6 separate regions of the Mus musculus genome follow, and regions 1, 3, 4, 5 and 6 are each reported to be linked to region 2. The links are microRNA targets in miRTarBase. Many come from high-throughput screens and were not tested one by one. Region 2 holds a microRNA gene; each other region holds the end of a gene's coding sequence.

Evidence for each region. The annotated mature microRNA mmu-miR-24-3p reads UGGCUCAGUUCAGCAGGAACAG and lies in region 2 at 2,019-2,040, shown strand. An mRNA with a match to its seed (bases 2 to 7 or 8) in the 3' UTR can be bound and repressed. Matches are read on the target gene's strand: a 7mer-m8 pairs with bases 2 to 8, a 7mer-A1 pairs with bases 2 to 7 and ends in A, and an 8mer does both.
Region 1: miRTarBase lists Dpagt1 as a target of mmu-miR-24-3p. Seed matches in the 3' UTR shown: 7mer-m8 at 3,732-3,738.
Region 3: miRTarBase lists Hnf1a as a target of mmu-miR-24-3p. Seed matches in the 3' UTR shown: 7mer-m8 at 4,135-4,141.
Region 4: miRTarBase lists Naa40 as a target of mmu-miR-24-3p. Seed matches in the 3' UTR shown: 7mer-A1 at 635-641.
Region 5: the mRNA of Exoc6b is a reported target of mmu-miR-24-3p. Seed matches in the 3' UTR shown: 7mer-m8 at 984-990 and 7mer-m8 at 2,469-2,475.
Region 6: miRTarBase lists Agpat3 as a target of mmu-miR-24-3p. Seed matches in the 3' UTR shown: 7mer-A1 at 4,143-4,149 and 7mer-m8 at 2,402-2,408.

What each region holds. Positions count from the first base shown.
Region 1 is chr9:44,332,109-44,337,178 of GRCm38, reverse strand. Dpagt1 (dolichyl-phosphate (UDP-N-acetylglucosamine) acetylglucosaminephosphotransferase 1 (GlcNAc-1-P transferase)) reads right to left here. Exons shown (of 9, transcript NM_007875.3): 7 at 4,529-4,616; 8 at 4,208-4,363; 9 at 3,284-4,122. The coding sequence ends at 4,057. H2ax (H2A.X variant histone) reads right to left here and starts at 2,464. Exons shown (of 1, transcript NM_010436.2): 1 at 1,102-2,464. The coding sequence starts at 2,417. The coding sequence ends at 1,986. Hmbs (hydroxymethylbilane synthase) reads left to right here. Exons shown (of 14, transcript NM_001110251.1): 12 at 8-61; 13 at 167-253; 14 at 334-831. The coding sequence ends at 507.
Region 2 is chr13:63,299,233-63,304,302 of GRCm38, forward strand. It overlaps Mir24-1 (microRNA 24-1), which reads left to right and starts at 1,976; the gene lies at 1,976-2,043. It overlaps Aopep (aminopeptidase O), which reads left to right. Exons shown (of 16, transcript NM_001289926.1): 16 at 1-3,645. It overlaps Mir23b (microRNA 23b), which reads left to right and starts at 1,252; the gene lies at 1,252-1,325. It overlaps Mir27b (microRNA 27b), which reads left to right and starts at 1,480; the gene lies at 1,480-1,552. It also overlaps Mir3074-1 and a transcript of Fancc not described here.
Region 3 is chr5:114,945,826-114,950,895 of GRCm38, forward strand. It overlaps Hnf1a (HNF1 homeobox A), which reads right to left. Exons shown (of 10, transcript NM_009327.3): 9 at 4,869-5,013; 10 at 3,155-4,360. The coding sequence ends at 4,236. It overlaps 2210016L21Rik (RIKEN cDNA 2210016L21 gene), which reads left to right. Exons shown (of 6, transcript NM_028211.1): 2 at 1-3; 3 at 193-291; 4 at 466-539; 5 at 1,338-1,428; 6 at 1,857-2,715. The coding sequence ends at 2,172. Among named protein-coding and RNA genes, the nearest start is that of 2210016L21Rik, 6.2 kb to the left of the region's middle.
Region 4 is chr19:7,223,405-7,228,474 of GRCm38, reverse strand. It overlaps Naa40 (N(alpha)-acetyltransferase 40, NatD catalytic subunit), which reads left to right. Exons shown (of 8, transcript NM_027643.1): 7 at 46-123; 8 at 384-2,807. The coding sequence ends at 525. Among named protein-coding and RNA genes, the nearest start is that of Cox8a, 8.3 kb to the right of the region's middle.
Region 5 is chr6:84,616,767-84,621,836 of GRCm38, reverse strand. It overlaps Exoc6b (exocyst complex component 6B), which reads left to right. Exons shown (of 22, transcript NM_177077.2): 22 at 326-3,351. The coding sequence ends at 452. Among named protein-coding and RNA genes, the nearest start is that of Cyp26b1, 25 kb to the right of the region's middle.
Region 6 is chr10:78,269,401-78,274,470 of GRCm38, forward strand. It overlaps Agpat3 (1-acylglycerol-3-phosphate O-acyltransferase 3), which reads right to left. Exons shown (of 10, transcript NM_053014.3): 9 at 4,672-4,870; 10 at 2,163-4,375. The coding sequence ends at 4,287. Among named protein-coding and RNA genes, the nearest start is that of Gm30122, 7.8 kb to the left of the region's middle.

The sequences.
Region 1 (5,070 bases), not on the chromosome of region 2:
ATTGCAGGAAGGAGGCTGCAGCGTGCCCGTAGCAGTGCATACAGTGATGAAAGATGGGCAAGTAAGCCAGGGAAATGGATGAGGGGAGGGACTGTCATTTCCATGTGCACCGAAACATCTAAGTAACTTTCTTTAAATATCCTGGTACAAACATTTTATTTCCTAGCTGTACCTGACTGGTGGAGTCTGGAGTCTAGATGGCTCAGATAGCATGCAAGAGACTATGCAGGCCACCATCCAGGTCCCTGTTCAGGTATTGACTGGGAGATGAGGAAGGAATAAATAGAACTGCTTGTAATCTTCCTCTTACCAAAATTGTAACCTGTCATCCAGCAAGAAGATGGTCCAGAAGATGACCCACAACTGGTTGGAATCACTGCCCGTAACATTCCAAGAGGAGCCCAGCTAGCTGCTGAGAACCTGGGCATCAGCCTGGCCAGCTTGCTGCTCAACAAAGGAGCCAAGAACATCCTGGATGTTGCACGGCAGCTTAATGATGTGCGCTAACTGGTCTGTAGGGCACAGGAACCCTGGCTGCCACTCCACTGCCTACTTCTGGCTTCCAAGTGCCCTGTGCTCCATCCCTAGGGATGTGATTATCCCAGGAAATTGAACCACGGGGTTGTTGAGACTTCCACTTTGGAAGATATGCCTCACCTTGGGGCCTCCATATCTGCCTTTCCCTCAGTAGTTGGGGGCTTCATCTCTTTAGAGAAAGTCCATGCCAATCTTTGAATGTAACCAATACCACTAATAAACCAGTTTAGAATGTGGTTCTTCTGATAGAGTTGGGGAAGATATGAATAAACCCAAAGCCCTTTTAAACTTGAATTGAGTCTGAGACCTTTCTGTTGTAAAACACGCTGTGATTTGCCTCATGTTCTCAAAAAAAAAAAAAAAAAAAAAAAAAAAAAAAAATCAGCCTTCAATTCCTACAGCCTGTCTTCAGTCAACGGGATCTTCGTGGATTACATAGCCTTTCCCACTCCCACGGCCTGCAGAAAGGGAAGTCCCATTCTCTCCCAAGATGTGCCAGGCACATGGCTCTACCACGGAGCTATATGTCCAGCCCTGGGACTACAGCATTCAACATTAAACCACTTTTTTAAAAAAACAAAACCAAACGATCCTTTAATAAAATTAGCCCATTAAATCTCCCCACTTAAGGTTCTAAACTTGTAATAGCTGCAAAAGTTCCAGTTCAGAAGCCAGAGGCTCAGTCCAGACAGGGATTCACCGGCTTGTGCTGGTATCTAGGTGTTTGGGTTGTAGTTGAGTCGCTGGGGAAGAGGGGATGGATGGCTAGGCCCGGCTGCCAGTCGCCTGCGGCAGGTATAGAACTCTTGTCCACAGGCCGGTAAGCGTCTCTCTGACCCTTGCCGGGAGGTATTCCTAGAGAAACTGGGTTCACATTACAACCATTTTTGGCCCCGCCACACCACACTGGCCTACGAATGGCGACAGGGTCAACTGGTATGAGGCCAGCAACGGTGACACCGAAGGAAACAATGTGATCCATTTCTCCTCCTCTAAGCCCGGCAATCAAGTCACTTTTCAAAGGTCCAGGCGAGGGCTAAGCACCAAGCTGAAGCAAAGACGCCGGGGCTGTAGCTGCGGAGGGACTAACCTTCAAGCCCACCGCGGCCGGACGTCTGAGCGAGGGGCCGAGACTCCGGGAAGGCGCCGCAGCCTCTCCGCACGGAGCCGTCGTCCACAACCGAGAACGGCGAAGCGATGTCACGAGCTCCGGGATGGGCAGGTGCCGCGGCGCCCGCGTCCTCCGTGGCAGAACCGGAGGCCGTGCGGGGTAAGGGGAAGAGTGGCGCGAGGGCGGGGAGGGGAGAGGAGGGAAAGAGAAAGGATGGGGACGCGGCAAGCCGCCGCAGCCCGAAGTGGCTCAGCTCTTTCTGTGAGGGAGGTGGTGGCCCTTAAAAGGGCCTTTGTGGAGGTGTGGGGAGGGCTGGGCGGCCTCGGCGCGGGCCCCCTCAGTACTCCTGAGAGGCCTGCGAGGCCTTCTTGCCGACCGCCGGCGCCTTGGGCCCCACGGTGGCGCTGCTCTTCTTGGGCAGCAGCACGGCCTGGATGTTGGGCAGGACGCCGCCCTGCGCGATGGTCACGCCGCCCAGCAGCTTGTTGAGCTCCTCGTCGTTGCGGATGGCCAGCTGCAGGTGGCGCGGGATGATGCGCGTCTTCTTGTTGTCGCGGGCCGCGTTGCCCGCCAGCTCCAGGATCTCGGCAGTGAGGTACTCGAGCACCGCTGCCAGGTACACCGGCGCGCCTGCGCCCACGCGCTCGGCGTAGTGGCCTTTCCGCAGCAGCCGGTGTACGCGGCCTACAGGGAACTGAAGGCCGGCGCGTGAAGAGCGCGACTTGGCCTTGGCGCGGGCCTTGCCGCCGGTCTTGCCGCGTCCGGACATAGTGTACGAGGTAGAAGAGCTGCGAACAACGCTGAGAGACCACGAACTACCAACCGCCGCAGTCAACGGTCGCCTGGCCGGCCAAGCCCGGCCTTATAAACTCCCTGGACACGCCCCCGCTTCCTCCTGATTGGTTCCTTTTTTAATACCCACCTCTGGTTGGTTGCAATTAACCCTTCGGTGACGCGCCTTAGCTGAGAGAACGCGCCCAGTGATTGGTCCAATTTGAAAACCTTTTACCCGGGGAAGAAGACAAGGCGGAGTGGCCGCAAGCCGGAGGCTGCTCACCCCTGGAAATGGCCAATCCGTGTAGAGCGCGCGAAATTTAAACGCTACGGCGCGACAACAAAACCTGAAGACTAGAAGGGTGGAGCTTGGAGCTACCTCTACAGTTTCTGGGAAATTTGAGTCGGTCTTTGGTCTTAAAGGAAAAGGGTCTACACTATAAGCAGCGTTCTCCTTCCAGGTTAGAGCACTTCCCACTCCCTCCTCTAATCTGGTAGACGGAGGGTTTATTTGTTCATTATTATTTTTAGGTTTGTTTGTTTGTTTTTCGAGACAGGGTTTCTCTGTGTAGCCCTGGCTGTCCTGGAACTCACTCTGTAGACCAGGCTGGCCTTGAATTCAGAGATCCGCCTGCCTCTGCCTCCCAAGCCTGAGGATTAAAGGCGTGCGCCACCACCATCTGGCTTTTGTTTGTTTGAGACAGGGTTTCTCTGAGTAGCCCTGCCTGTCCTGGAACTCAGAGATCAGCCTGCCTCTGCCTCCCTAGTGCAGATTAAAGGGAGGGAGGGTTTAAAAGAAACGAAATGAAACCTCCTAGGAGTTTAATCCTATGCCAGAAAATGGAGCACTGTGATCTTTTATGCTATCACAAGTTTGTGCTGCGATATTTATTCAACATGTTCTGTCTGGTCTTAGTTTGTGACAGGCCTTTTTTGCAAGAAAGGGTCTGATGGAACAGAGATCGGTATCCTATTGGGAAAGGTACCCGGTCTAACCCTTCCAATCTATCCTAAAATGCCTATATAAAAAATAAATATACCAGACTTGGCATATAGTTCAGTGGTAGAGCAGTTAAGTATAAGGAAGCCCCGGTGTTCACTCCTGAAGCACCACGAAGGTTAAAAAGGACAGAGGGAGGGGATGCTACACTAGAGGAACAAGTAAAAGGCAGTCCTTTATTGTCACCGTTCTGAGCACATGGCCCTGCCTCTACGCTTCCCAATCACAACACTTCATTTGATAGTCAAATGTGAGGTCACCTTGGAGTATGTAGCCCTAACTCTAGCCCTAGCCCAGGTTCTCTCTCAAGGCTCAGGTGAATTCCTTTAGAGTTAGCGCTCTGAAAGCTGAGCTACGAATATTTGCATAATAGAGGCTACAAGCCCACCTGGTGAGGCTGCAGATGGGACAGAAAGGGAGGGCAAGGCAAGATGAAAGCCCTAGGCAAAGTCCAACTAGCGGACTTCAAGTCCAGCAAGGTGTCCATCCAGGATATCAGTAGTCACAGATGGCAGAAGCTGAGAACAAAAGTGTCAGCGAGGCCTGGACCAGAGGGTCATCTCGGACCAGACAGAGGCTGGTCCTGGCTGAGGTCCAATGGAGACTGTGAGGTAAAGGGCAGCTGTCAGGGAGCTCAGACATCATAGAAGAGTCGGACGAGTTGGTAACGAATGGAGAAGGTGGCGGCGCTGCTTAGGACCTGGGAGAAGTGGACTGGAATTAGAAGCAAGGCCAACCAGAGATGTAAACGCCATGGCATTACTAAGCCCCACCCTGAGCTGTACCTGCAGGAGCAGCAGGAGCAGGGTGAGGTTTCTCTCATGTATAGGCCCAAAGACTTTAAGTAGCAAGTTGATGAGGGTCATGTTGTTACACTCAGTGAAGGCACCGTCCTCACTCTCACCTTGGTGAACTGTCACTAACCGGAGGTTCTCTGCTACCTGCAGGGACCAGAGGTGAAGATGACTTCAGTTATGCAGATCTACTTCACGAATAGGGATCTTCTTGATGTTCCCAAACTCCCCTTGGGCCTGAAAAGGCCTAGGTTTCTCTTTTCCCAAGTTAAGGATGGCGGCCTCGGGCCTTACCTCCTGTTACCTTGTTACCTTTAAAATAAAGGTGCCCAGGAAAGAGAGGTTCTTGGTCTTGAACTTGGAATAGCTCATTTCCAGTTTGCCTGTCTTTGCGTTGAGTCTGCAATGGGAAGATAATTTCATTTGACTGAATCAGAGACCTCTGCACCCTGGTTACTAAGAAGAGTACTGAGGCCGGGCGTGATGGCGCACACCTTTGATCCCAGCACTCAGGAGGCAGAGGCAGGCGGATTTCTGAGTTCAAGGCCAGCCTGGTCTACAAAGTGAGTTCCAGGACAGCCAGGGCTATAAGGAGAAACCCTGTCTTGAAAAACCAAAAAAAAAAAAAAAAAAAAAAAAAAAAGAGTACTGAGTACTTATGTACTGGAGTTGGTTTCTGGCTCCGTGATCAGGGCTGTTGTAAGCATTACATACTATGTAAGTAAACGAGCTTCGTAAATTACAATGGGCTACCCACATACAGTCGGCTCATCTTTCCCCTCATGTTTTTTTTACATAGGAAATGCAAGTTGGCTTTAGCTATCCCAAGTCAGAAACTATTATGACCCTTGAAA
Region 2 (5,070 bases):
GCAGCAGGTCTTCTCTGCCCCTCCATCCAAGTGACACTTGCGTCCTAAAGGCAAGTCTGTTTCCATCTCGTGCTGGAACAGGATTTACGCTGGCTCCCAGAGTCCTTGGCTGTGGTGTAACTTGCCTCCTCTGTAGCCAGCTTGTGGACCAGTAATGCAGTTCAGCCACAGGGCGTGGAGTTCTGAGACAGGTGTGGGCTAGTGCGTCTCTTTCATAGTCGCCAGTCATCATCTCTACATCATCCCAGGACATTATCGCTTGCCATGGTGGTACATATGATGTTTACTTTTGTATATGTTTGAAATTTTACATCAATCACTGTGTTACTCTGTTGTTCTCTATGATTACCAATTAATGAATATTTAGAATTGTGTTGCTAATCTTAACCCATTGTCAGACATTAAATTTACATTTTCACATTTCACTTTTATAAAACCCACTTCTGTGTAATGTTTATTTTTCTGAAGAACTACACTGATGAAGGGAAAACATGTTACTATGTATGACCATGTTGTTGCAGAAGAGCTGGGGACCGCCACAGTCAAGCAGGGGAGATAGTGGGCTGGAGTAAGCAGGTACAGCCTGCTAAGCCTGCACACTACAAGCTAGGACGGTGGCCTGTGTGGATAGACAGAGTCGGTCGGGGCGCCTCTTCACTGCCTCCTGCAGACATTTCTCTAGAAACTTGTAAGCTGAGGGATTGTTGGTATGTGGTGTGTGAAGGTCACACAGTAAAGCCACTGTTCCCTTTTTAGGTCCCTAGGCCTTCACTTAGGAAAGCCATAGTCACATAGTGGTCCTAGTGACTCTTCTAAGAGTATTTTTGCCCCCTGAGTGAGCAAATCCTCAACTTGCTAGGTCCCCTATGAGCTCTGTGCTATGCCTCAGCTTATCCAACCAAATGCTTGGTCACAGGCAAGCCAGAGAGATGCTCCCTCCCTACACACCACACCTGCTGTCTGAGGGGCCCAGAGACATCCCAACCCATTCAGTCTGCAATTGGAGAACAGGGTGTGTCCCAGGGTTAAAGGCCACATACTCAGAGCAAGGATGGTCCCTAAGGTATTGGTCTCATAGCTGATAAGTGTGTCCTTTGTCTCCCAGTCCCCTATGCTCCTCTATACAGTGCAGCCAGCGCGCTGAAGGACAGCAGGCTGCACTGCTAGCGTGGTGGGCTCAGAGGCGGTTTGGAGGACACTCAGCACATGTGGATGGGAGTGGTTGGGCATGGTGCTGCCCTCACCTGCTCTGGCTGCTTGGGTTCCTGGCATGCTGATTTGTGACTTGAGATTAAAATCACATTGCCAGGGATTACCACGCAACCATGACCTTGGCTGCTCCTGCAGAACCGTGGCTACTTTCTCTCTGCAGTTTGGAGAACAGAGGCGCCTTGTGGCTCTTTGGAAACAAAAGAAGCCAACAGCCTTCGAAGATGCTCACCAGCCCTTTAATTATGGCCGGCGATGACCTCTCTAACAAGGTGCAGAGCTTAGCTGATTGGTGAACAGTGATTGGTTTCCGCTTTGTTCACAGTGGCTAAGTTCTGCACCTGAAGAGAAGGTGAGATGGGGACAGTTAACTTGCAGCTGCCAGGCAGAGGCCACTGCCTGGTGGTCACTCCAGAGGAGGAGAGACCAGCCTGCCTCAAGGCTGTGTTGTCAAGAGTGCAAACAGCGTGCTGACCACCCTTAAGTGTGTCTACAGAAAATACAGTTCTACTGCTAATTAGTTCACTGTAATGTCAAGTGTATTGGGAGTCACAGAAAACTAAACCCAGGTGCATCAAGGAAACTGAGCCAACCTTGTCTCAGCTGATGCCACACGTGATGGGTGGGGGTGTGGTTCTTTGTCCCTGCTGGGCGTGGTGAACTCTTTCTTGTATTTGCAGTCCAGGTCTCCATGTCTCCACAGTCGCTGGCAAGATGATGCCCAGGGCACGCCAGGAGGCACTGCCCAGCTGTGATTGGACCCGCCCTCCGGTGCCTACTGAGCTGATATCAGTTCTCATTTCACACACTGGCTCAGTTCAGCAGGAACAGGAGTCGAGCCCTTGAGCAAAAAGCCTACCCATCTGTAAGTGCCTGAGGCAGGCCTCCCACGGAGAAGAAGATGAAGGGCCTGAGTGTCTGGTACCAGACCCAACAGCAGTGGTATCCCTCTGTATGTGCTCCCGAGGTGGGGATTTGTAGAGTGCAGAGCTAACCTTGGAAAGTTTGCATTCCCTAGAAGCAGGTAGGGCAGGCGCTGAGCATTTGCCACGTGTTGGGGCAGAGCACACCATGTCACCGCTGCCTTGAGCAGTGAGAATGCCTGTCTGAAGGGCCTTGTCTGTAGAGCCTTTCTGAACCTCTCTGGGCTTCACAGCCCTGCATGGCCTGTGCCGTGACTGTGCACCCCAGACCCAGGATTGTGAGGTGTGGCTTCAGTGTTGCCCCTGTCCTCCCATGAAAAGTTCCCTCTCAAGTGGAGGTCAGAGGCTGGGAGGACTCCTGTTGGAATGGCTGTGGTGACTGGGTAATAAATTTTATTGCTGTTTCCTCCACAGGACAGATCACAGTGAGATTCTCATATACCTTCTCCTAGCCCTGGTGGGGCCAGGACTGCACTGACCCTGGACATCAAAGGGAGGATTATGTGGCTGCTAAGGCCATCAGCCCACAGCAGTGGTTGGTCCATCTTGGGCTTCCAGAGACTGGGCTCCCGTGGCATATATAAAAGGCGGAGCCTCATAAACTGTTGCACCTGGCAGCTGCCTTTGTTCCCAGTCCTAGAGAGACTGAGTCTACACACTGGAATTGAGCTGTGACTTTAAGGCAGTCATTCAATGAAGGACACCCTCCCCTAGGCAGATGGAGAGCCGGTTGCCTGCTTCCTGTGATTGCAAAAACTAGCTGCCATGCTCTGAGACTGCAGAATCATGTGACACCTCCTGTGGCTGGTCCCCAAGGATTCTGCAAAGCCCTTTTGATGTGTTCAGTCAACAGAGCATTCCTGTTTTTGAAAATGCAGGAAAGCCTAAAATGTCTTAATAAAGTACCAGATTTGCTAGTGTTCCAGTTTGCTTCTGAATTTGATGCTCCTTAAAAGCAAAGAAGAACGTGTGTCAGAACAGGCACTTTCCACACACTTCCTACCTCCAGGTAATGTTAATTCTAAAAAGGTTGGAAGTAAAGGGAAATTAGTGTGGCTTGGGACTCTGCTCTCTTCCAAATGTGGAGTTTCAGCCAGCCTGGTACTAGCGGAGTCTCAGAACAAGCTCTAAGCTCTTTCAGTCACTGTCTAGAGAACGGTGCTTGAGACTGAGCCATCAGTGCAGTCACATGAGCCCAGCCAAGGCAGAGCGGTGGACAGAGGAACCAGAAGGAGCATCCCACTGGCTGGCCAGGCTTCTGCACCCAGACCTGCTGGGTGACAAAGGCTCTAGGACAGACTGAGAGGAGCGTCCGCACAGAACCATTGGTTTTCAGAGCCTGGGCTGTAGCAGTGACTGCATTTGGATGGTTGCAGGGGACTTGCAAATGGTTATCTGCTTTGTATACCACAATGGTACAAGTATCAAAGTGTGTTAATTCTACTTAATGTTACCCTGATTTCTGTGAAGACTTGAAATAAATGGCTGAGTCTATGCCTTCCTGCTCTCAGAAGCACTCTGGCCTTGCTTAGAGGTGGACTAAGAACCACACACCCTGTAAGGCCCCTCTGAGAACCTCAGTGGCCCATACCTCCTCTGAACTGGAGAGAGCAGCCAAGCACTGGTTTAGTCTGGTTTTGTTCTTTGTTCTTAGGAACCACTAAAGCAAAACAAAGCTGTCGCCTAAGGTGGGTTTTGTTCAGGGATCAAGTCCCTTGTCCCCATGGGTCACTGAGCCCTGTGCCTGGCTGTGTCTGGCTTGGGTTCTTGCCAATGGGTTTCAGGTAAGTGGAGATCTCACTGGAACCAGATGCCCATTTCACAGCTTTGGTGAAGGATCTGTGGTAGAGCTGTCCTTTGCCACCTCTGGCTGGGTGCAGAGCAAGCCTATCCTCCCCTCTCCTCTAGTCCCCCACCCCAACAAGTTAGGCAGCAGCTCCTGCCACCCATAGCTGCACCAGAGGCCCATGAGGCTGTGGAAGCAGGCTTCCCTCATCTGGCTGAGACCTCTGGAGTCAAGAAAGTGCAGTCTCCATTCTTCCGTGAGCCACCTGACTTCACAGGACACAGAACATTGCAAACGTTAACTTGTCAAATAGGATGCGAAGCAGGGTCTGAGGGCGGAAGAATGGATGTCTAGGGAGGCTTGACCTCCTCCTCTGAGCTGTCTCACCCAGGGAGGAGTTTGCTCTATAGCATATGGTTCAGGTGATGAGTGAACTGTTGGCGGAGGAAGGATGTGGATCATCACCCAGGCTCCTGCTCCAAACCACAAGTGGGCAGAGCAAGAAGCTGGATCCCTGGGTCAGTGTTTGCTGTAGACCACTCTGTAGTGCTTGGTCTTCAGAGCTTTGGTGTCCAAGCCTTAGGCAGGGGCTTGGAACCCCTCTAAGGAACTCTCCCTCCCACCACTCAGATGTGAGACTGAGCCTGTGTTGAAAGCCTGGAAGCCTGAACCTGAGTCTGCTCCTCTGTCCCTGGAGAGACTGAGACTGTCCTTGGTGGTCAGGCACACTTGTTGCCAGCACTATTTCCATGCCGTTTTCTAGCCTCACTTCATTCCTGGAGGAAGCTGAAGGGTGAGAGAAACCCAATGGGAGCAAAGTGCTCTACCACCAGGCCCATGCCTCCAGTAGGTAGAGGGGCCGGGACAGGAGGATCCGTGTGAGATAACTGCCAAGAGGTGAGTGGGATAGCAGAAACACCAGCCTCTTAACCCTGCCACTGAATACTGTCATCGTCATTGCTAAGCAGATGTCCATCACTTGAGAACAACAGGCCAGGGCTGGGCCAGCCTGTTCTCACTGATCCCACCAGAAATGGCCTCCTTCCAACCAAGACAGCCTAGAGTTACTCCATCTCTTCTCCAGAGGAGACACACCCCTCCGTGTTATCTGGGATGCTTCCGACAAGGATTAGAGCAGGCCTCAACCGGAGT
Region 3 (5,070 bases), not on the chromosome of region 2:
CAGGTACTGTGTGTGCTCTGCACGGAAGCTTCATTGAGTCATTCAACAAACACTGATTCCCCCTGTGCGTGCCAGATGCTAGGTTAGACCACAGGGTGTCAGAGGGACGGAGACAGGCGGTCCCTCCCTACTGAGGGCAGCTTCTAAGCTGTCTGGAAGTGATGTCTTGATGTCTGTCTGTGCGTGTTGTAGGCATGAGGTGAACCAGCACGAGGAAGATGGCAACGACCTTCGGACCACTCCTGAGTTCCGAGCCCACGTGGCCAAGAAACTGGGAGCCCTGCTGGACAGGTGAGCGGAGGCTCATGTCATACCCCCAGTCATGTCCTCTTGCTTCAACCTCCCAGATTCTGGGATTACAACCTCATGTCCCAAACCCAGAAAAAAAAAAACAAGGAAAAGAAAGAGTTGTTCAGTTGTTGTTACCCGAACCGTCATCCTTGGTCTGGGCCTCCTCTCCCTCAGCTCCATTGCCATCGCAGAAGTTTGGAAGAAGTCGCAAAAGGCAAAGATGCAGCAGGTGGCAAAGGAGGAGGATGGTGAGTCCTTAGACTGCTGACCAGTGCTGCCCTGCAGAGATGCCCCTGTGTGCCTGTGGCCAGCAGCCCTTCTTGCATCTGCTGTCCCCACACTCTGAAGTGGGAACCACAGCACCCCATTCCCGGGATGAGCTAGCTCTGAGATCCCCCCACTTGCCCTGTTACCTGCAAGCATTGTGGCTTCTTACCCAGTCTTTCCCTCCTGCTCTCTCTGGTCCTGACCCTTTTGTGGACCCTTTTGGAAGCCAACACAGGTAAGAGACTCAGCTACAGACTTCTAAAGCCCCTGGAATCTGGGTAAGGTGGTGCTTTTAATCCCTGCACTTGAGGCAGAGGCAGGGAGATCTCTGTGAGTTCAAGGCCACCCTGGTCTGCATAGCTAGTTTCTGGACAGCCAGGGATACACAGAGAAATCCTGTCCCAAAACAGAAGCCCCTGAAGCTCACTGTCCAGATGTGGCAGCCAGTCTGTGCCACAAGCCCCTGCCTCTGGCTCCACAGCAGGGCAAGCAAGCCTTGCTTCAGATCAGCTTCAGTTTACACACACACACACACACACACACACACACACACACACGGCAGTGAGGTCTAAGCCTTGCCACTAGACTGGGAGTACCTAAGGACTGGCTGCGTCCTTAGCACCTGGGGGAAGGGCCAGTGTCTGCCTTACTGACTGCTGGCTCTGCCCTATGGTGTCTTAGGGCCAGTGTCTGCCTTACTGACTGCTGGCTCTGTCCTGTGGTGTCTTAGGGCCAGTGTCTGCCTTACTGACTTCTGACTCTGTCCTGTGGTGTCTTAGGCTTCCGCCTTTTCTTCACATCCATCCCCGGAGGCCATAAGAAGGAAGCCTCTCCAAGACCCTGCCGGAAGCGCCAGCCCCCCAGCTCCAGGTAAGTGCTCACAGCCTCTCCTGGCCGAGCCTGAGGAATAGCTAAGCAACCCCAGTCAGGCTCAGACGGAGCAAGAGATCATGAGATAATAAGGCAAAGTATTCCCCCAGCAGGAAGGCACAGGGTCTTCTGGGGGGGGGAGGGGGAAATCCCATGGTTTTCAAGAGCAGCCATCTTGGGCCAGAGTCCCGCCTTTATCATCCTTGTCTCCTGAGAAGAAGCTCTATGAGGTTTGGACACTGTCAGGGCCCTCATTGTAGATGAGACTACTAAGGGTCAGAGGCTTCGGGTACTTAATGCAGCCATGTGACTGACGAGCAGAGAAGCTGACTCGAGCCTGAGCTACTTGGCTGCCTCCATCTGGTCCGGAGGCAACCAGGCAGCTCGGAGACCCGTCCAGCTAACCTGACTACTCGCCATGGTGACAGTGAGGACAGCGATGAGGAACTGCAGCGGTGCCGGGAGGCAGCTGTGTCGGCTTCAGACATTCTCCAGGAGTCAGCCATACACTGCCCTGCCAAGGCAGAGGAGAAGAAGAAGTTGAAAAAGAAAGCCAAGAAGAAGGTGGACAATGCTGACCTGGCTGCAGCCCCAGGTCTGGAACAGGTAAAGGAGGCAGGCGTTGTCAATGGGGACCCGGTGTCGCTTGGGATCCAAAAGAAGAAAAAGAAGAAGGCCAAGAAATCCAGAGAGGCTCCCCTGTGCCCACCAGCAGAGTGTGCAGCGGCGAAGCCTGAGAACTGACCCCAAGCTGTAGGTCCAGCCCTGAGGATCAGGTGCCCATGGAGTTAGGGCAGAGCCAAGCCACACTCCCAGTTTCCAGCTTCCCACAATGACTGCCCAGGGTGACTTTAGGTGGGCTTGGCCAAGAGTCCAAGCAATGGAGTGGGTGTATGAGGAGAGGCCTGGAATAGATTTGTGGTTCCAGAACGTTCCCCAGCTTTTGGACTGAATCTCAGAGCATCCATCTCCCCAGCCTGTGCAGCCTTGCATGACAGTTGTCCTAGAGAATGATGGGCAGGGGTCTCCAAGCTGCCGAGGCCCCAGAAAAATTTTAGTACCTCTCCCCCAGACTTAAGAACATTGTCTGGAAAAGAAGGGAAGGTCTCCCCCACCTCCTCCTCTCCCCACATTTGTCTGTAACATGTTGACTTGTTAATACCACAGGTAAGTCAGTCACTGACAGTCAGGTGCCAGAGCACCTGCTTAGTGCTAGGCTGCATGCAGGCTTGGGTACAAGGCCCTAAGAAAGAGAAAAAGGAAAATAAATTCTCACGTGTCCCAAGACCTACACTAGCTCTGCCCTGGTCAGTGCTGATCATTTTTGTCTTATTGTCTAGAAGAGTCTCTGTGTAGCTCCAGCTGGCCAGTCTCCTGGTTTGCCTCCTGTGCAGTTACACCAACGACCGTCAGTGCTGGGGAATCAAACCGGGGCATCCCACTTACCACGCAGATATTGGGCCACTGAGCCACCTCCTCTGTGCCGAATGTTAAGGGGGCATCTTATATAAAAACCACAGGTGGCTCCCTCTGTCACCCCAGCTTCAGGACTCCAGGGAATGGTAGCACACTTGGAGTACCAGGTGGGTTTCTTGCAGTAACAAGGACACACAGATTCAGGCAGAGTCGCCTCATTTCCAGTTAAACAAAAAGATGTGTAAACATGTACGGGGCTTCGCTCTGCCTTCCCTCCTGGCCACTGATGGACAGTCAGGAAGCTTCCACGTGCTTTTTACTGACTTTACTAAAAGTTAAATAAACATACAGGCTCACTTATGGTTGGCCGTAGGCTACAGTCCAGGATGACAAAGGAGCTGGCTGAAGGCCAGGTTCCCTGCAGTAGGCCCGAGGAGACAGTCATGTGTGCTGTGTTTCCCTGGGCTGCTCGGGACCCAGGATTTCTCAGAATGGCTGCTAGCCCCCAGGCCACTTAGGTGGCTTCTCTCTGCTGGTCTTGGTACCCTCTCCACTAGACACTGCCCAGGCCTTGACTTCTGAGTTCTGCAGGTCTCCCTCATAGCAGGAAGGAAGTTGTCAGGGGCCTACAGGCAGAGGAGTGGATTGTCCATGGTGTGGTCTTGGCATGAGTTGCAGGTCCTAAGGAACAGGGATGACAACCCGAGCCCTGAAATGGCCTTTCTAGTGGATGCAAGTTGCCAGGCTGGCATCAGAAGACACATCCAAGGGAACAGATGGCCTGCAAGTGCAGTCCTGGGGCTGGGAGAAGGGATGGCTTGGTAGGGGAAAGCCTAGGAGAGCCCCGAGTGGCTTCCCCTCAGCTCCCGAGCCTAGCAGAACAGCTGGGTAGGAAATCCCCGTGGTGGGGAGGGTAATCCTCAAACAGGCACGTGGGTCTCTGGTGCAGGGTGGAATGGCCTGGGGAGGTGCAGGAGGCAGCAGGCAGCTGTGTTGATCTAGGGCCTCAGAGCTCAGCACAGATCCTTGAAGGCCTGCAGGCTCTGACTGGGGGGGTGCGGGCACCACGAGCTTCCCCACTCCTGTCCCAAGCATTAAATTTCCTATTCTAAACAGCAGGGATGGTGGTCCACAATACTGCCCAGATTGGGCCGTCCTCCAGCTCCTCGAGGCTCGCTTGTCAGGCTGAGACACCTCAGAGCCATCCCTTCCTGATGATGGAGGAGCAGCAGTGTCAATGAATGCGTAGACTTCTGGGAAGGCCAGCAGCCTGTGTCAGGTGGCATGGCAGGCTCAGATATCCTCCAGGCAGTGTGGCTGCGGCCCTCCTCACCCCCTATGCAGGCAGTGCAGGCCCTGGGGACCCAGCTCCTGGGAGGCAGTCACCACGGTTACTGGGAAGAGGAGGCCATCTGGGTGGAGATAAAAGTCTCGATGACACTATGGTTGGATGGCAGCAGGTGGCTGTGCCCGTTGGAGTCGGAACTCTGATACAACACCAGGCTGCTGGAGGACACTGCAGAAGCAAATGAGGTTACTAGCTGTTGGCCAAGTCCCCTCCGACCCCTACCCCACCTGCCCATCTCTTAGTGATGCTCCAGGGAGAGACAGCAGAGCCTCACATTCTGAATCACCAGCCAGGCGGTGGTGGCACATGCCTTTGATCCCAGCACTTGGGAGGCAGAGGCAGGCGGATTTCTGAGTTCGAGGCCAGCCTAGTCTACAGAGTGAGTTCCAGGACACCAGAACTATACAGAGAAACCCTGCCTCAAAAAAACAAAAACAAAACCCCAAGCAAACAGGAAAAAACACAAAACAACCTCCTCTGGCCTCTGCATGTGTGTGTAGAGCACCTATACACTCACATACATAATATATGCATGCATGGATGTGCACACAGATCCCAAACTACTGCTTGGCATTCCGCAGGCACCACATACAATGGGCAAAGAAGCATTTCCCACCTGCCCCTGACCTGTTGTTGCACACACCACCTACATACTTCTGGAAGACCGCTCGCTCACCTGTGGGACTGGTGCTGAGCCGGTGAGCAGGCTGCAGGTGCTGGATGTTCGACGGGTCCTGGCTGGGGATGTGGATGGTGGTGGCTGGAGAGGGTGGCTCGTGAAGCCCGGGCTCACTGGAGGCCTCTGTGTCTGAGGTGAAGACCTAGGGAACCAGAATAAGCCCCCCACTGAGCCCTTGTGCGCAGCGGGCCGCCCCCAT
Region 4 (5,070 bases), not on the chromosome of region 2:
CTTTGGATTCTGTTTCTAAAAGGTGCTCACTCTGCTTTCTTCCAGCACACAGATGAAGAAGGTGATGTTAACTGTTTTTAAACATAATCATGGCGCCTATCAGTTCTTCCGAGAGGCACTGCAGTAAGGAACAAGGCTCGGGTGTGGTCCCTCAGGGTGGTCAGGGTAGTCCCTTTGCTGGTTCCCAGGTACCTGCCTGCCCTCATCCTGGTCCTAGTCAGTGTTCATGGGCGTTGGGGTTTGTGCTATCTTATCCCACTGCCTTCTGACTTAGTCCTTGCACCCCGTTGCAGAGGTCTCAGAAGTTTGGAGAACTTCTTGACTCAGGGAGCCAAACATTTTCCTTGCCAACACGCAAGTCTTTTTCCTGTCTGTCTTTGCAGGTTTGAAATTGATGACTCTTCACCCAGCATGTCTGGTTGCTGTGGGGAGGACTGTTCCTATGAGATTCTGAGCCGGAGGACCAAGTTCGGGGACAGTCAGCACTCCCACACAGGCGGCCACTGTGGTGGCTGTTGCCACTGAACTCCTAGAACCACTTTGAAGGGATGTCACTCTCCTTAGGCCTGTCCCCTCCCTGGTCTTATGCCACTTGCCAGGTACCCTCAGAGCTGTGGGGTGCCTTAGTTCTGCGTGAGCCAGGCATATCCTGAGAACACAGAACCTTGGGGAGCAGTGACCCCAGCTGCCTTTCCACCTCCCTCCTGGAAAAGCAGAGTGCCAGGAGGGAGCACCGAGGAGAGGGTGCCGTGAGATTGACAGGTTGGCTGTCAAGCTCATCCTTGTGCAGTAGCTGCCTACTTACTTAGTTCTTGGGCCCCTAAAATGGAAGGCTTCCCTCTTGTCTGCAGCTGAGTTCCTGACCGGGTTGCACACCATGCCCCATATGGACAAATGGAATGTTGTTAATACCCACGTTTGTAAAAGGCCTGGAGTCTGCTGGTCCCCAGAAAGAACTGGATGCAAATCTGGGCATACAACAGACCTTGGACATCTTTTCTCTGGGGACAAAGTGCTCTTTCAGAGACCATGTAGCCCTTGATGTCAAGGTGCAAAGGTTTGCACTGTAATCTTATAGATCCACAGGTGGTGTCTCGGGACCAGCCAACTTCAGGAGGGAGTCTGCCTCCACCACTGTCAGTAAGACAGGATCAGGAAGAGCTGTCTCTTACGTGTTTGTCATAGGGATGTGGCATCTCTGGGCCTTTGGACTTTGCTGCATTTTCATGATCTTGACTTGACCTTTTTATTCAAGAAGGAAGTCAAAGTCCTGCCTGTTCTCACACCTCTCTTCTCAGCCCAGATACCTCTGTTCTTAGTCTCAAGGGGAACAACATCAGGGAGCCTCTCGTCTTCCCCAGAAGAACCCTTCCTTCCTGGTATAGCTGAATCCATTTCTTCCTATTCTTGGTGCTGATAGCTCTCTGAAGGTGGGGTACTTCCCTGCCACCCTCCCTGACTGAGGGGCCCCAGCCAGCAGCAGGCCCCTTTGCCTGTTCTCCCGAGCCCCACCCCTCACCGCCTCAATGAGGCACTCGTGCCACTGTCTTGGCACCCCTGGGATGCCTTTCAGTGGCGTACCACTGCTTTCCTGTCATGGGTGTCACCCTACAGTGACAGGCTAGAGCCAGAAGGCCTTCCTCCTCAGGGGATACAGGCTTAGAACTTGAACTCGCCCTGACCTCTGGATCCTGTTCTTCAAGGAAGCAAAACCAAATCCTTACCTAGAAAAACAGACTTGCCACTTCCCCATTGCTGCCCCTGAGTTCCGCCTTGGGAGGCGTGGCAGAGAGCTTGCCTTTGTGCAGTTGCTTTCAGAGACTCTGCTACCGAGCTGAGTCTGTTCACCTTACCCAGCCTGACTCAGCTGTCTGTTCTGGCAAGTCTCCCCAAAGGAGTCACCTCTCGCCCAGATCCTTGGCTTGTGCAGTAGCCTGGACTCAGAGAGTCCTTTCTTGCTTGGTCTGTCCGCTGTTGAACACTCTGTGCTGTTGTTAGCCCTTGGCCTTGCCTGGGAGAAGGCCTTGCAGCTTTACACTGGAATAGGTCTGCTTTTGTCTGGCTTGCTAGCTTCTGGGCTATACCTCTGGTGAGAGTTGGAGCTGCCCAGAAGGGATTGGCATGCTCCTTCCGAGAATCATGAGACAGGAGCATGCTTGCAGGAGTTATTCCCTAATCTCTGTCTGTCTTAGATCATGAATCTCTGATACCTCCTACTTAGGGGTCCAGAAGGAACCCCCAGTGTAAGCCCCATGTAAGGTGAATAGAGTGTCTCGTCTCCAGTTACTGGACACCCAGCACCAGGACTCATGGTGCTCAGTGCCTGCCCTGCTCCCCACCCTCTGCAGGCCCCATCCCAAAGGGCCCTTCAGGATCTCTCACTGGACCAGCGGGATGGTGGCCAAGACCAGCAGATTACTCCTGTGGGTGTTAAGCCCAGTGGTTCATCAGGCATCGTCTACCGCCCTCTTGTTTTGAGAAACAGCAGGTCTAATCTACTGTACCAGGCTCTTTTGCTTTTTGTTCCAGGAGTGTTAAAATGGTTTTAAAAGTTTTCGTTTTGTTTTAGTGAACCTATTCCATTTCAGGTTATTTTTGTTGCTGTTAAATGTTTATGGTTCTTTTTAACCTTTTCTGGAGGGTTGGGGGGTTATTTTTGTTTTTAAGAGGAAAGTTGGAAGGTAATTTTGTTTTATATTTTTTTTCCTAGCAGTTCATTATCACTGGAATCAAAGGGAAAAAAACCATCTCTCTTTGTATCCATTTTATTTGTATGTCATTAATAAACAGATACTTTGTGCAGATGCTGGGATGGCATCCAGATACTGGGTGCCATGGGCAGTGGGTGTCAGGCTTGGGCTTTGGGAGGCGCAAGGCTGTTCTGGCCCCACACCCTTCCTGCAAAGGAAGCCTCATGGAGCCCAAGTGCATGTGTTTGTGCCATTTCCCAGAAGTTGTTGGGTGAGGTAAGGGATGTCAGAATACCGTCTGCTTGGCATCCTGGAGCAGGCCTAGAGCCAGGCACTGTGACTTGGGGCATCAGTGCCCAGACATGAATTCTGTGCTCTGTGTGAGTGAAGAATGAACTTTGTCCCCGTGTTTGCTGTGTTACTTAGAATATTCCTCATCAAAGTTTTCAACGAGTACTCTGAAGTCTCTCCTCACAGAGGAAGCCTGACTGTCAGGCCTGACTGACTTCTGTAGCGAGGCCGTTACAGCTTGTTCCCCGGGCTGGGCTTCTGCGGGCGTAGGTTCAGGTCCTGGGAACTGGAGAGCTTGCTGTGGACAGCAAATGTCACCAATGATTGGGCAGTGTGGTGGTAGGTAGAGGACAAGTCAGTGGGAGCCCTGGTGGATCTGGGGGAAGAAATAGAATATTCAGTGAGAGCAATAGCAAGTTGCGGCCCCCCTCCCCCCCACGAATGGGAGCTTGCCCGGAGTATGGCTGATGTACTGCCTTGTCTGAATCCTGGAGGAAGGTGTCCCTGCTGTGGGAGGGAAACAAGTGGTTTGCTTAGCTGCATACCATAGACTGTGACAGAGGTTGTGTGTGTGTGTGTGTTGATAATGGAACTTGGCTGTTTGCATGCTCAGTATAGGTTCCCTACCAGTGAACTACAAGCCCAGTTCTTAGGTTTTGATTTGTTTTTGCAAGGAAAGATTGACATGTACATAAGTCAGGCTTGGCGCTCACTGTGTAGCCCAGGGTAGCCTCCAACTCATGCTGGTCTTGTTTCCAGCATCCAAGTGCTGTGGTGCCCTTGTGCTTCACACCTGGCTTATACTGAGGTGATTTTCTCTGAATGGACATCGCCTTGCCTGGGGATAAATGGCAAGTGGCGCTGAAGCAGTGGGACCCATCAACACAAGCCTGCGGTCTGGGAGAGCTGCATTGGCACCCCATTTTGCCACCTTCCCCATGTGTGGTATAGCTCCTGGGGATGCTTTTTGGTCCCTCAAGCTGCAGTGCCAGCTTCACTTGACTGGAAGTCAGTGAGGTGTGAGCCCACTGGGTAGCCATCCATTACCTAATAGTCACTACTGCCAAGTTTGAAGATCCAGATGAGGCTGAGTGAGATTTCTCTAAAGTATTCTATCCCTGAGCACAGGCGCTTTCTACTGCCTAAGATCAGGGTTTAATGTGGAGGGAAGTGTGGCAGTCTCAGTTGGTAGAGCTACTGCTCTTTGGTGTTCTCTATCTCTCTGTCTGTCTTTCTCTCTCCACCCCCACCCCCCATGTGTGTAGTGGGGAACCTGCTTGATGAGCCCAGAAATACTCAGGGTAGACCTGGCCCAAGAATGCTCTGCACAAGCCAGGCGTGGCAGCGCATGCCTTTAATCCCAGCACTCGGGAGGCAGAGGCAGGTGGATTTCTGAGTTTGAGGCCAGCCTGGTCTACAAAGTGAGTTCCAGGACAGCCAGGGCTATACAGAGAAACCCTATCTTGGGGGGGAAAAATGCTCTGCACATGTCACCATGTTTAACTCTTTAGTGGCCTGGTCCCATAGCTGGTGGAATTGCTCACAGTATAAAGATGAAGTTACTTGCCACAAACCTCCCTATAGAAAGTAGCAGAGCCTGGACTTGGGCTAGCAGAGCAGGAAGTCCTCTTTTCAATTTGCAGCTCATGAGGGTAGGATAGAGCCCCTTTCCCCCACTGTTCCCATTACCTTAGTTTTCATCCTAGGGTGCCAGGCCAGACAGCTGAGCCTGCCAGAGGGAAGCAGACTGTCAGCCCTTGCACTGGCACCTCACTGCTCTACCTAGTGGCTGTGTCCAGCCATTTCAGGATATCTAGAGCATGGTGATAGCTGTGCCCAGAAAGAGCAAACACCTCCAGGGCCCTGAGTCACTGTCCTCTCTCCTCCCCACTCTGCTCTCTGTTGCCTGCTTAGGTTCCTAAACCAGCTCTGATTTCTGCCTCCTGCTAGATTTTGCCAGGATGTTGTTTGGCCCTATGTTGGGTATAACCTGAAACTATCCTAGTGTCTCCTGCTGTCACTTACCTAGAAAGTCAGTTTCCTCTGGATGGAGGGAGGGCCAGACACCCTCACCCTTAGTGAGAACCTC
Region 5 (5,070 bases), not on the chromosome of region 2:
TTTAGACTGGCCAGCAGAGTTGTGCCATGTCTCAGACATTTATAAAGGAGCTCATCTGAAGACATAAGAGCGGGTTAGGTGAGGGAGGTGTGAGGATAAAGACGCTCTAAAGCCAGCTCTTGACCAAAGGCTTGTTGTCAGGAAGGTGATGGGTGTCTGAAAGAGACAGGTCCATAATGAGTAGGTAGCTGGACAATGGAAAGATTCCCGACTCTTCCACTCTAGGTAATGGTTAAGATACATCTTGCCATCTTCCTACTTCCTGCTTGTCCTTTGTCTGGACTATCTCAAATACCTTGCCATCTTTCTCTCCTTCTCTGTTTAGGATGAAAGATACTAGCCGCAAGAATAACATGTTTGCACAGTTCCGGAAAAATGAGCGAGATAAGCAGAAATTGATTGACACCGTGGCCAAGCAGCTCCGAGGACTCATCAGCAGCCACCACTCCTGAATGTTGGCCTTGGGCCCACAGAGGGCCACTTGCTGTAGCCAGTGGTCCAGGATCTCCCCTGGGCTGGCCCTGCATTTGTGCATTCTTCCTCAAAGAGAGCATATGTATTTTTTTATTAACCCCTGTACAGTTTTCACATAACCTTTCCCTATAGTAAGAGAGGCACAAGAGTAAGCAAGAACCAGGGCTTAGAGGAAGTTACTGCTACACTTTCCTGGGAAAGCTACACTGTCAGTGCCAACATGGTGAGCCGCATCCAGTGCTCCACGAATTTAGTGGGTACCTAGCACTGGGAGTTGAGATGAGAAAGTAAAAGGATAATAATATATATCCTGTTTGCTCTCAAGTATTTGCTTAAGTACATAAGTAGAGCCTGGCAGACATGACTATGTAGTATGCCAAAGCCAGCCTCAGTTTAGGATATCTATCTGCCTTGCTGGTTGAATTATTGGCTCATGAGAGTGTGGCATGTGGCAAGATGACAGTTTCACTCTGGTCCCATAGCTTGCAGTTTCATTAGTTTAGGTCTGGCTGAGCCTTGTGGGGAGAAGGGTAGTTAGCTGAAAAGGAAGTTGCCCCACTAGGTGAGTTGTTTTTCTGAATCTTAAAAAGCCAAGTTGGGTCAGGACTCCAGTCCCCATGCCATTCATCTCTGTCTCTTCTTTTATGACCATAACTCTTGGTTCAGAACATAAATCAGCAATTCTTAAGGTCCCTGAGAGTCTCACACTCAATTCCAGCAGCATCTCTAAATGCCCAGATTCCCTGAAGTCTGAAAGTAGCCTGGGTGCCCTCACCATGGGTAGAGCCTCATGATGTGTGAGATTGCATATTCCTGTCTTGATGACAGCCTTACAGCTACCATCTTTCAAGAAAACGTCCCAAGCTCTACACCCTTGGGCACAACCACCATAGGACTAGATGTTTCTGAGAATGGATCTATCACCATGATGTAGACAGGGTCAACTGTAGCTAATGGATTATTGCCTCTGGCCCAGCTGTCATCAACAAAATAACATCACAGAGACAAGGCTTGTCTTGTTCAAGCCCAAGGCTCCCATCTTCTGAGCTGTCCCTTAGCCTCACCTAAGAGTGCTTTCTCGAAGTCACATCTCTGTTTTCTGGAGTGTGGGCTAACTATAGACTCCTGAGATCCTGTGAAGGCGTTCCTGTGAAGTTGGCCAGAGGGACTTTGCACTGAGACACTTGTAGAAGCTGTTAGCCTGACTGCTGCTGAGAGTTTAATTGCATTGTGGAACACTGACCAAGATGCCACAAAAGTGTTTCCAGCTCCAGTGAGGAGCAGAGAGACTGGTCAAGCAATCACTTATTACGTTTGTCAGCTATTGTGTCATTCTGGAACAGCTGTACTTCCATATCTCTTAGCCCACCACAGCCTACGTCATCTTGAACACGCCTCACCCTTGCCATAGCAATCTCAAACACCAGCAAGAAAAGTACACCACACAGAGGTACAGCTTTCTACAACTGGAGAGAACAAGCTACCCAGGTGTTCTGCATAAGCCTTCAAGTCTCATCATCAGGCTACATAATGGCCCAGAGGTTCAGGAAGAGTCACAGAAGAATACACAAAACTTACTAGCCAGCAGAGAGCCCAGGCCTGTGGAAGAGAAGACAAGGAGATCTCTCGAAGCCCTCAGTCTGTGACCAGTGAGAAGTGACTCCACAAACCTGACTGACTGAGAAGGAAGGAAAGGCCCTTTCTTCACCAGGGCTTGTCAGCCTTCAGTGTAGAGAGTGGGCTGTCACAACATTTGTCCTTTGGGGACACTTTTAATCACTCCATCTTGCTGCCTGTCTAGTTGCCACCTCTGTCCCAAAGGAACTGACATGGATGGAATGAAAACCATGTGTAGGACCAGGGCCACTCTACCTTCCTCACCAGAGTCCTGCTGACGGGGACTCTCATTCAGTCACAGAGTGTGAGGATGGCCGCTTGCCTTTGCCCAGCTCTGCGTCTGCTGTGCTGTTCTCTGACAAAGCAGCTTGCTGCCTCTGAGCCGGGAAAGCGGGGTCCACAGTGTGAGGGGGCTATGAATTGATGAGGTGGGACTTTGTTTTTTCATTTTGTCCTTAGGCCTAAAGCTGAGCTGGCCTTGAAGACTTGAGCACAGAATGTGTGCTGGTAGGCCTCAGACTCTGACCTTACCTCAGATGCCTACAGACCATATTCCTTCAGTTTCAGGTGGGGTGAGACGCTGCTGCCTGGAAGTCTGTGGCCTTCTAACCAGATCCATAGCCCTGTAGACAGTATGGTTTGTGAGCCTTGGTTAAGCAGGGGCTCACTTATTTTTTTATCATTCATGAGGGAAAAACATAACAAAACAAAACAAAACTCTCAGTACCAGGTAACACTGGTATGGGTGGAGAAGAGCAGGACCTGCATACAGGAGCCCAGAATCCCAGTTAACAAAAGCAGTATCTCCCAGTGACTCTATCATGCATCAGGCCTGACAGTCCGTCCAGCTCTATGGCACCCAGCTCAGCAGGTCCCAAGCCCAAGGGTGGCAGTGGCCAGTTTTCTCCTTAGACCTCTGAGTGCAGGCTTGGGTGGCTTCACCACGCCTCCTTCAGCCTGCTTTTGCTGTGCCCCTCCCTCCACCCCTCTGTTCCTTCTCTCCTATTCACTTGCATTTGCGTCACTCCTCCCTGACATGTTGGAAATTGCCTTTTCGTTTTGCGCAGTTCCACATTTGTGGGAGAAAAGCAGTGAGATCCATCTGAACCTCCAAAAGGAACCTTCTCCTCTCATGCTCTGCTGCAGGCTGCTGCAGAAGGGGGCTCCTCTGTGGAAAGAGCATGAGTAACCCACTCCCCTGTGCACCTTCCTCTTTTAACTGCTATTAAACGAGAGCCTACATACCCATTGCAAAAGCCACTGTGTTGTCTTGTGAGATTTTTCTTCTCATCCCTTTTGTACAATGTGTCTGTGGTTTGTGACAAATACTGGATAGCAGACAGCGTGTCCCCACTGAGCTGACTAAGGAGCAGAGCTAGCAAGAACCTGGTGGGAAGAGGCTGTGTTGTGACCTCCGGTGTTGTTAACATATCTGACTGGCACTGGTATAGCCACCAAGAGAAGTATATTGAAGCTCCTGGTTTATGTGGGGTGCTCATTAGCATGGCCTTATGATGTAACTGTAGGACACCACAGGATTGCTTGAGATACTTCAAAGCTTGAAGTTGTCCCTAGCCTGTTTTGTGCTGGGAGGCAGTAAAGGACCTTTGGGCACTCTGTAGCCATGGTGAGTAGAAATGTTCATGCAACAAGACCAACCTGCTCACCCTCAGAAGAGGCTGGAAAGAACACCAAGCGACCAGTCTCACACTTTTGTGGGCTTTGCTGCCAGAAGACCAGGACTTCATTCCTTCTATATAGCCCACTAGCTGGATCATCTTTTTAAAAACTTTTTATTGGTTCTTTGTGAATTTCACATCACACACCCCAACCCCACTTATCTCTCCTTCCCCTCATACCCACCCTCCATCCTTGCAACCTCCCGTCCCCAACAGAGCATGTGCTGCTCAGACAAGGTTCAGGGCCTGCTCTCCAGAGTGCTTCAGCCTGTGAGGGACAGAAACAACTTTCCAGCTTTGATGACCCAGGGGCCAGCTCTCCGGCCTGCTGGAGGGATCTAGAGAGGGGTCATCTTTCTCCTGCCCATGTCACCACACAGCAGACAAGTTTCAGAGCCCGGCTGGATCCTCTTGAACAATTAATTTGCTAGCTCAATAGTGACATTAGAGTTATGGTTCCTAGTTTTACAGAGATATTGTAAAATGCAAGAGCTGTGAAGGCTATAGAACCTGGCCTGACATAGCCATGCACTATTGAAGGCCTCCCTTGTTCTCCCTTCCCTCCGGTTTACAGCATGCCTCTTAACTGAGCATCTCACAGATGTATCTCCTGGCTTCCTTTCCAAGCCCATCACAGGGCAGGTAGGAAGTAGAGACTTCACATACCTCTGCAGGGCCCAGGACCACCAGCTACCTGGTTCTGAGTAAAGGCAGCTTTCAAAAGCCTGCTTTCAGTTCTGCCTGGAGCCTCCTCTGCTCTCACTTTGGTGCCATAAAATATGCCTCCTCCTGGTAGCATGTAGTTCAAAGGCAGAGGTACAGTTTCCTTGAAATGTGGGTGCGGATGTGGTGTACACACATTGATGTGTGCACATGGGCTTTCATCTACCCATTCTTTGTTTTGAGAAGGTTTGTGGCTTTTGTTCAAAGTGTAGAGAAAAAGACATGATTAAAATACTACAAATGATGACCAAATCCCTTTAAAGATTCCCTTGTGAGCCAACAAGGCTCTGAGCCATCAGTTTCTCTCCTTGTCTCCCTCCTCAAGTGCTGGCATATTTTGAAGACTGGTACCCACCCTTTTCAGGAACCTTGGTAGAAATCCAGGTCACTCCAAAGACCAGAACAGCTTTGTTTCATACCAGGATGTATATTGAGGGTCCAGAGGACTCTGTATTTTGGGTACAGGGAGATGGCAAAGGGTCTGGTGAGGCCATTGGCCTGTCTCAAGGCTGCTACCACAGGGCACCTTCCACCATCTCTGAGCTCCAGCTGCAAATGTCCAGCCGAGGAAGGACCA
Region 6 (5,070 bases), not on the chromosome of region 2:
TGGACATCTTCCTAGAGCACAGACCTCCATTCTTACTACAGAAAGCTTTGTGAGTAGCAAACTTGTAAAAAGAAGAGTACAAAAGGAAACGTCCATATTAACACAGTTGCACCCTGGAGACAAAGCATCCCTTGGAGACTGCCCACAGTCCGATATGGCAATTTCTCAGTAATGGAAAAGCAACCCAGATATTTGCGCCCCACCCACCGCAGCACTTGATCATTAAAGTCCATGGTTTGTGCGGCTTCCAGAAAGAGCCATTTCCTGTAGTTATAGTACTTGCTGGTACTCGGTCCAGAAGCCAGGAGGTACAGGCCTTGAGGCAAGTCATGTTTGATTGTCACAATGTTTCTACTCTGAGACAATAAATACAAGTAGAGCACTACAGCTCTTCATTGAATCAAGTAACTCCAGTTTAATAGAATACAATTTAGTGCATTTCAGAGTCTCATTCACAGTTCCGCTTCTGTCCGAACACTTTTGCAACAGAAAGAAACCCAAAAAAGCTACGGAGAAAAAGAAACCTCCAGGTGACCTGTCAGCACAAAGTTCACAGTTTCACAGGTCGCTGTCTGTGAAGAGAGGATGCCACCATCCCTGGTACCTCTGCGAAGTGCTCTCCTTGGTTGATTTCTGGAGTGATTTGGGAGAATACCACCTTTCCCCTGGATTAACCGATTTCAAAAGCCTGTGATAAATTCGATTCATGTGTCCACCCTGTCAGCCAAGCAGATCGCCCAAAGCCTGAACTTGCATTGTAAAATCCTGGCCCCTGTATGCAGGGATCTGGGGCGTGAATGTCAGTACCCACCTGACAGCCCCACGGCAAGACTCTGGGACAAGGCCTGAGGCAGGTCAGGGGTGCCCGAACCCAGGCCCAGTTGCCTTTGGTTTGGGGCTGGCCCATAGGCCAGAGATGTTTCTAGAAAGAAGGCAGCAGGCATCTCAGGTGCGCCATTCTAACCCTGAGCTTCATGACACTGTAGAGGGCTAGAAGCCACACCAAAATGGCTAGCATTAAGCGTCGCATGCATCTAGCTAGTGGTTTGGGTTTATGTGTGGGACAAACAGTTTAGGTGCAGGTCATCAGGACTGGAAAGGCTACTTTTGGCTTGTCCTATACAGTCTCAGGCAGAGACAGGGCAACATGCAGGAAGAGCCACTTAATTCTTCCATCCTGAACCTGACACAAATTGGGGCTCACCCAGACTTTTTTCCTTGGATGGTATGAAGGCTGGACTAGGTAGAAAAGATTCTCAGGGCAAGGTACACAAAAGGGGAGGGAGGGGCAGCCAAGGCATCTGTGGAGACACCTGCACTGTTCCTACTAGAAAGTGTTGTTACATTGTTGCCATTTGTTATCAAGCAGCCTGAGTGTTCAGAGCTCATCTCTTTAATCAGACTGGTTCCGCCTCTCCCCCTTCACTCCCCTCCCCCCAGGACAGGGCTTACAGCATCTCAGAGATGTGCCTCATAGATGCAGTCTCACCAAAGACCCATAAACAGCATGCATTTGTTTTGTTTGTTTAACCTTTGGGTTAAAAAGTCTTGTCAAAAGGAGAGTGTCCCTGATCTCTGAACTGCCCACATTCTGACCATTCAGCCTTCCTAGTGTGATGCTCCTGCTTCTCCAAGGATGGTCACCAATCAGGATGCTACCACAAAGCCCTCAGAGAGAGAAGCACAGTCCCTAGATGCTCAACAAGCAGTCAGGAGAATGGCAGCCATTGCTGAAGTTCAACACAGCTTCAGAGAGGCCTGCATGAGGTATGTGGGTGTGGCCAGGGACCAGGGGTGGGAGACCACCTGGACAGTGGAAGGGTCTCTCGGGGAGATGATGGGAGCCTCACTTATCTGGCTCTTGACCCTGAGTGGGGAGGAGGCCATATCCCAGTCTGGGCTGACCTTGTGGGGGTCCCTCTCCTGGGGAGCCTGAAGCAGAGCCAGCCTAGCAGGCCAGCCCCCCCACCCCCCAGGCCACCAACCATTCCAGTTCCAGAATGCCTCTGGCTCCTAAGCCTGCTGCTTCTAGCACGGGCTCCCTGAAGACTAGCAAACTGCTTCAGAAGTTTGCTTCACAACTTCTGCCCGAATCTGGGCATGACATCTGCCATGCCTATCAGTAGTAGGGTGTGAAGGAAAAAGAGAAAAAGCATTATTCTGAGATTTATTAATTTAATAGAAAAATTGAAGGGGCTCTCCTCCCCCTTTTCTTTCTGAAGCAGATGAAAAGCAAAATCTGACCCCACCCCACCCTCAAATAAGCCCACACCCACATTACTAGTGTAGTTTTTATTGCTCTCAGAAGCGCTGCATTGGATGATGAGCAGGCCTAGGAGGGCAGAGCCTGCAGCCCGGAATCCTCTGTCATTCATAGACTCAACGGTCAGCTGACCCCAAAGGCTCAGGGCTTCTGTGGGAAGCCAGAGGCATTAGTGAAGTGGTAAAGGCTCTGAGGTTGCTTTCCCCAGCGGGGGAGGGGGGAGGCAGGTGCATGCAGGGCAGGGCCCATTGGCCTGTTACCTTCCGATTTGTGAGGAGACGGTGTGTGGGGAAAGACAGAGACCCCAAGCAGACAAAGACAGAAAGAAAAAACCCACCAAGGAGGGAGAAGACCCTCAGGAATGCCCAAGATGGCTCGTAGTTGGCAGAGGCCAGGGCGCTCAAGTCTTCAGCTGGAGGGGAAGAGATTCATTGTCTCAGTTAGCCTGACTCAACCTTTCACCCTTACAAGCAGCCTTGTGTGTTGCTGTTACCCAAGAGTGGGAGAAACCACTATTGTGCATGGACCGTGAGGCTATTAGCATCTTCTGTGACTCGGTCCCCAGCACTTGGAGCCATACAGTCAGGCCCAGGGCTGCCCTCAGGCTTCTCTAGGCCTCCTTCCTCCAGTGTACACTATAAATCTTCTCTGCCTTTACTATGAGTTCTGGTTGCAGTATGCCACAGGGGGGAAAAATTACCCAGTTTTTTTCTTGTTAGAAAACATGAATGACATTAAAAGAGCCAGTTCCAGACAGAAGGTAAAAGCTTATGATGGTGTTTCCTGAGGACCTAGGTCTCCCAGAAACCAGGCAGGTCCTTCCTGTGCTGAGCGAGAAGGAAATGGGCCTCCAGGGCCAGCAAAGGGACCCTGGCAAGGCACCAAGTGCAGGCTGAGGTCCCCTGTTCTTTGCCAGGACAGTGTATGTCACTGAGGTGGTAAGGGGCAATGGTGGGTATGGTCAGCAGCCATGACACCTGCCTGAATAGAGGCAGAATAGGAGGAGGTCAGGGAGAAGCTGCGAGCCAGCCACAGACCAATGCCTGTAAAAAGAGATTCTAATGCTAACAAGCACTAAAGGGGTCTGACTGAGAACGGGAGGCCTGATGGTGACACGGCCCTCTGAAGAGTGTCCCAGGGGAGTTCCATAGGCTGCAGCCCCCCAGGCACCACAGCTCTGAGGTGTGGGGCTCGCATGCGGTCTTCCCATCTGGCCCTGTGCAGGATGGCAGCCTGCTGGCTACAGAGGAAGAGAGAGAGAGAGGGAACAGTATGGAGGTGCTGTATGAACTCAAGGGTTCCACATTCTGCAGAGTTCTCGGGCGGGCGTTCACTTTTAAAAGAGACTTAAGGTGCTTAGACACAGCCCCCAGCAAGGCGGTGCCAACAGAAGCTGCAGAGGACGGAGGTGTGGTCTTCAGCCCCACCCCACCCCAGGGGGGGGGGCGGGGAGGGAGGGCAAGGGAAGGACAAAAGGGCCAGATCCACATTCAGTGTGTGCTTATCTCTAAGAAGACTTCCTCCCTCTCCCGGGGCTGGAAGCTAAGGTGCCAAGCAGGGCGGGATGAATGCTGCAGGACAGGGGGCTAGCTGACCTGCCCCCAGTAGGCAGCGGCACCCAGGGAGAGCCAGTGTTCTGGGGCACAGGGCACAGGGTTGGGGCCAGGTTACGTCCCCCAAATAACTGATAATAAACAAAAGCCTCATTCTAAGTTTAAGAAGGGAGAGCAGCCAAGGCTGCCTCTTGGAGGTGGAGTTCTGGGGGAGCGCCGTGGCCCCACCACCTCCCCCAAACCCGCCTCTGTCCCCGCAGAGGGCTGATGGGACCCTGCCGGTGCTGGCCGACCATCTTCAGCTGGCAGGCCGAGTTCTTTGCTCTTGGCTCAAGTTTTGTTAATATTAGTCACCAGTTAATAAGAAAAATAGTCTCTAAGTGTCTCTTTCCCTCGCGCTTGTGTGTTCTGTTTTTAATTGAGTTAATTGGATACCGCATCAGGTTATGGGTGTTCAATCACAGCATTAATTATTCCTTTTTCTTAAGCTCTTGGTTGCCATAGCTGGAGCCTTTCTCTATCTCAGTCACTCCTATCAGTCTCCGGACTCCGAAGGAAGCTTGAAAGACAAGAGAGAAGAGATTAGAGGCTAACCTCACCAGGACACCCTCACTGGCCTTGCCACCCCCACCTCACTTGCTTCCTCCCCGGGTATGGTCACTCTAGTACAGGAAGCCATGGGAGAGTGAGAGGAGGGTACAGTCCTCCACAGCCACCATGTTCAGGAGCCAGGGTCACTCAGTCCCTGACCTGGGTCAGCTGCTGCCTCCTGGGCCCATCACGATGAACCAAAAGTCCTGGGTATGGGTGGCCCAGTGACCCCAGCATGTGAGCGGGCACATCTGTGCTCTTTACCTGCTCCCACGAACCCCAAGAACGTCAGGATGAGGAGCGGGGATCCACTGGCAAAGACACCCAGGACGAAGCTGAAGAGGGGTGAGAGGAGGATGGTGGCCCAGCACAGGAAGTTCAGGAGGGTCCACGGCCTTCGGGCAGGCTTGAACTGCTCCCCTGGGAATACACCCTTCTGCTTGTACATCTCTTGCAGGGCATCCTGAAAGTCAAGGGGACAGTACAAAGTTGAGATCCACAAGTGTGACTCTGATTCAGGAGAAAACTCAGCAATAAAAGCCACTTGCCCAGGGCACAGAATGAAGCAGACTGCCCCAGTGCAGGTGGGAGGAGCACTTCCTTGGAGGACCTTCAGTTGCTGTGTGTCATCTGCAACCAGGAAAGGAATTAGCTAGGATCCTG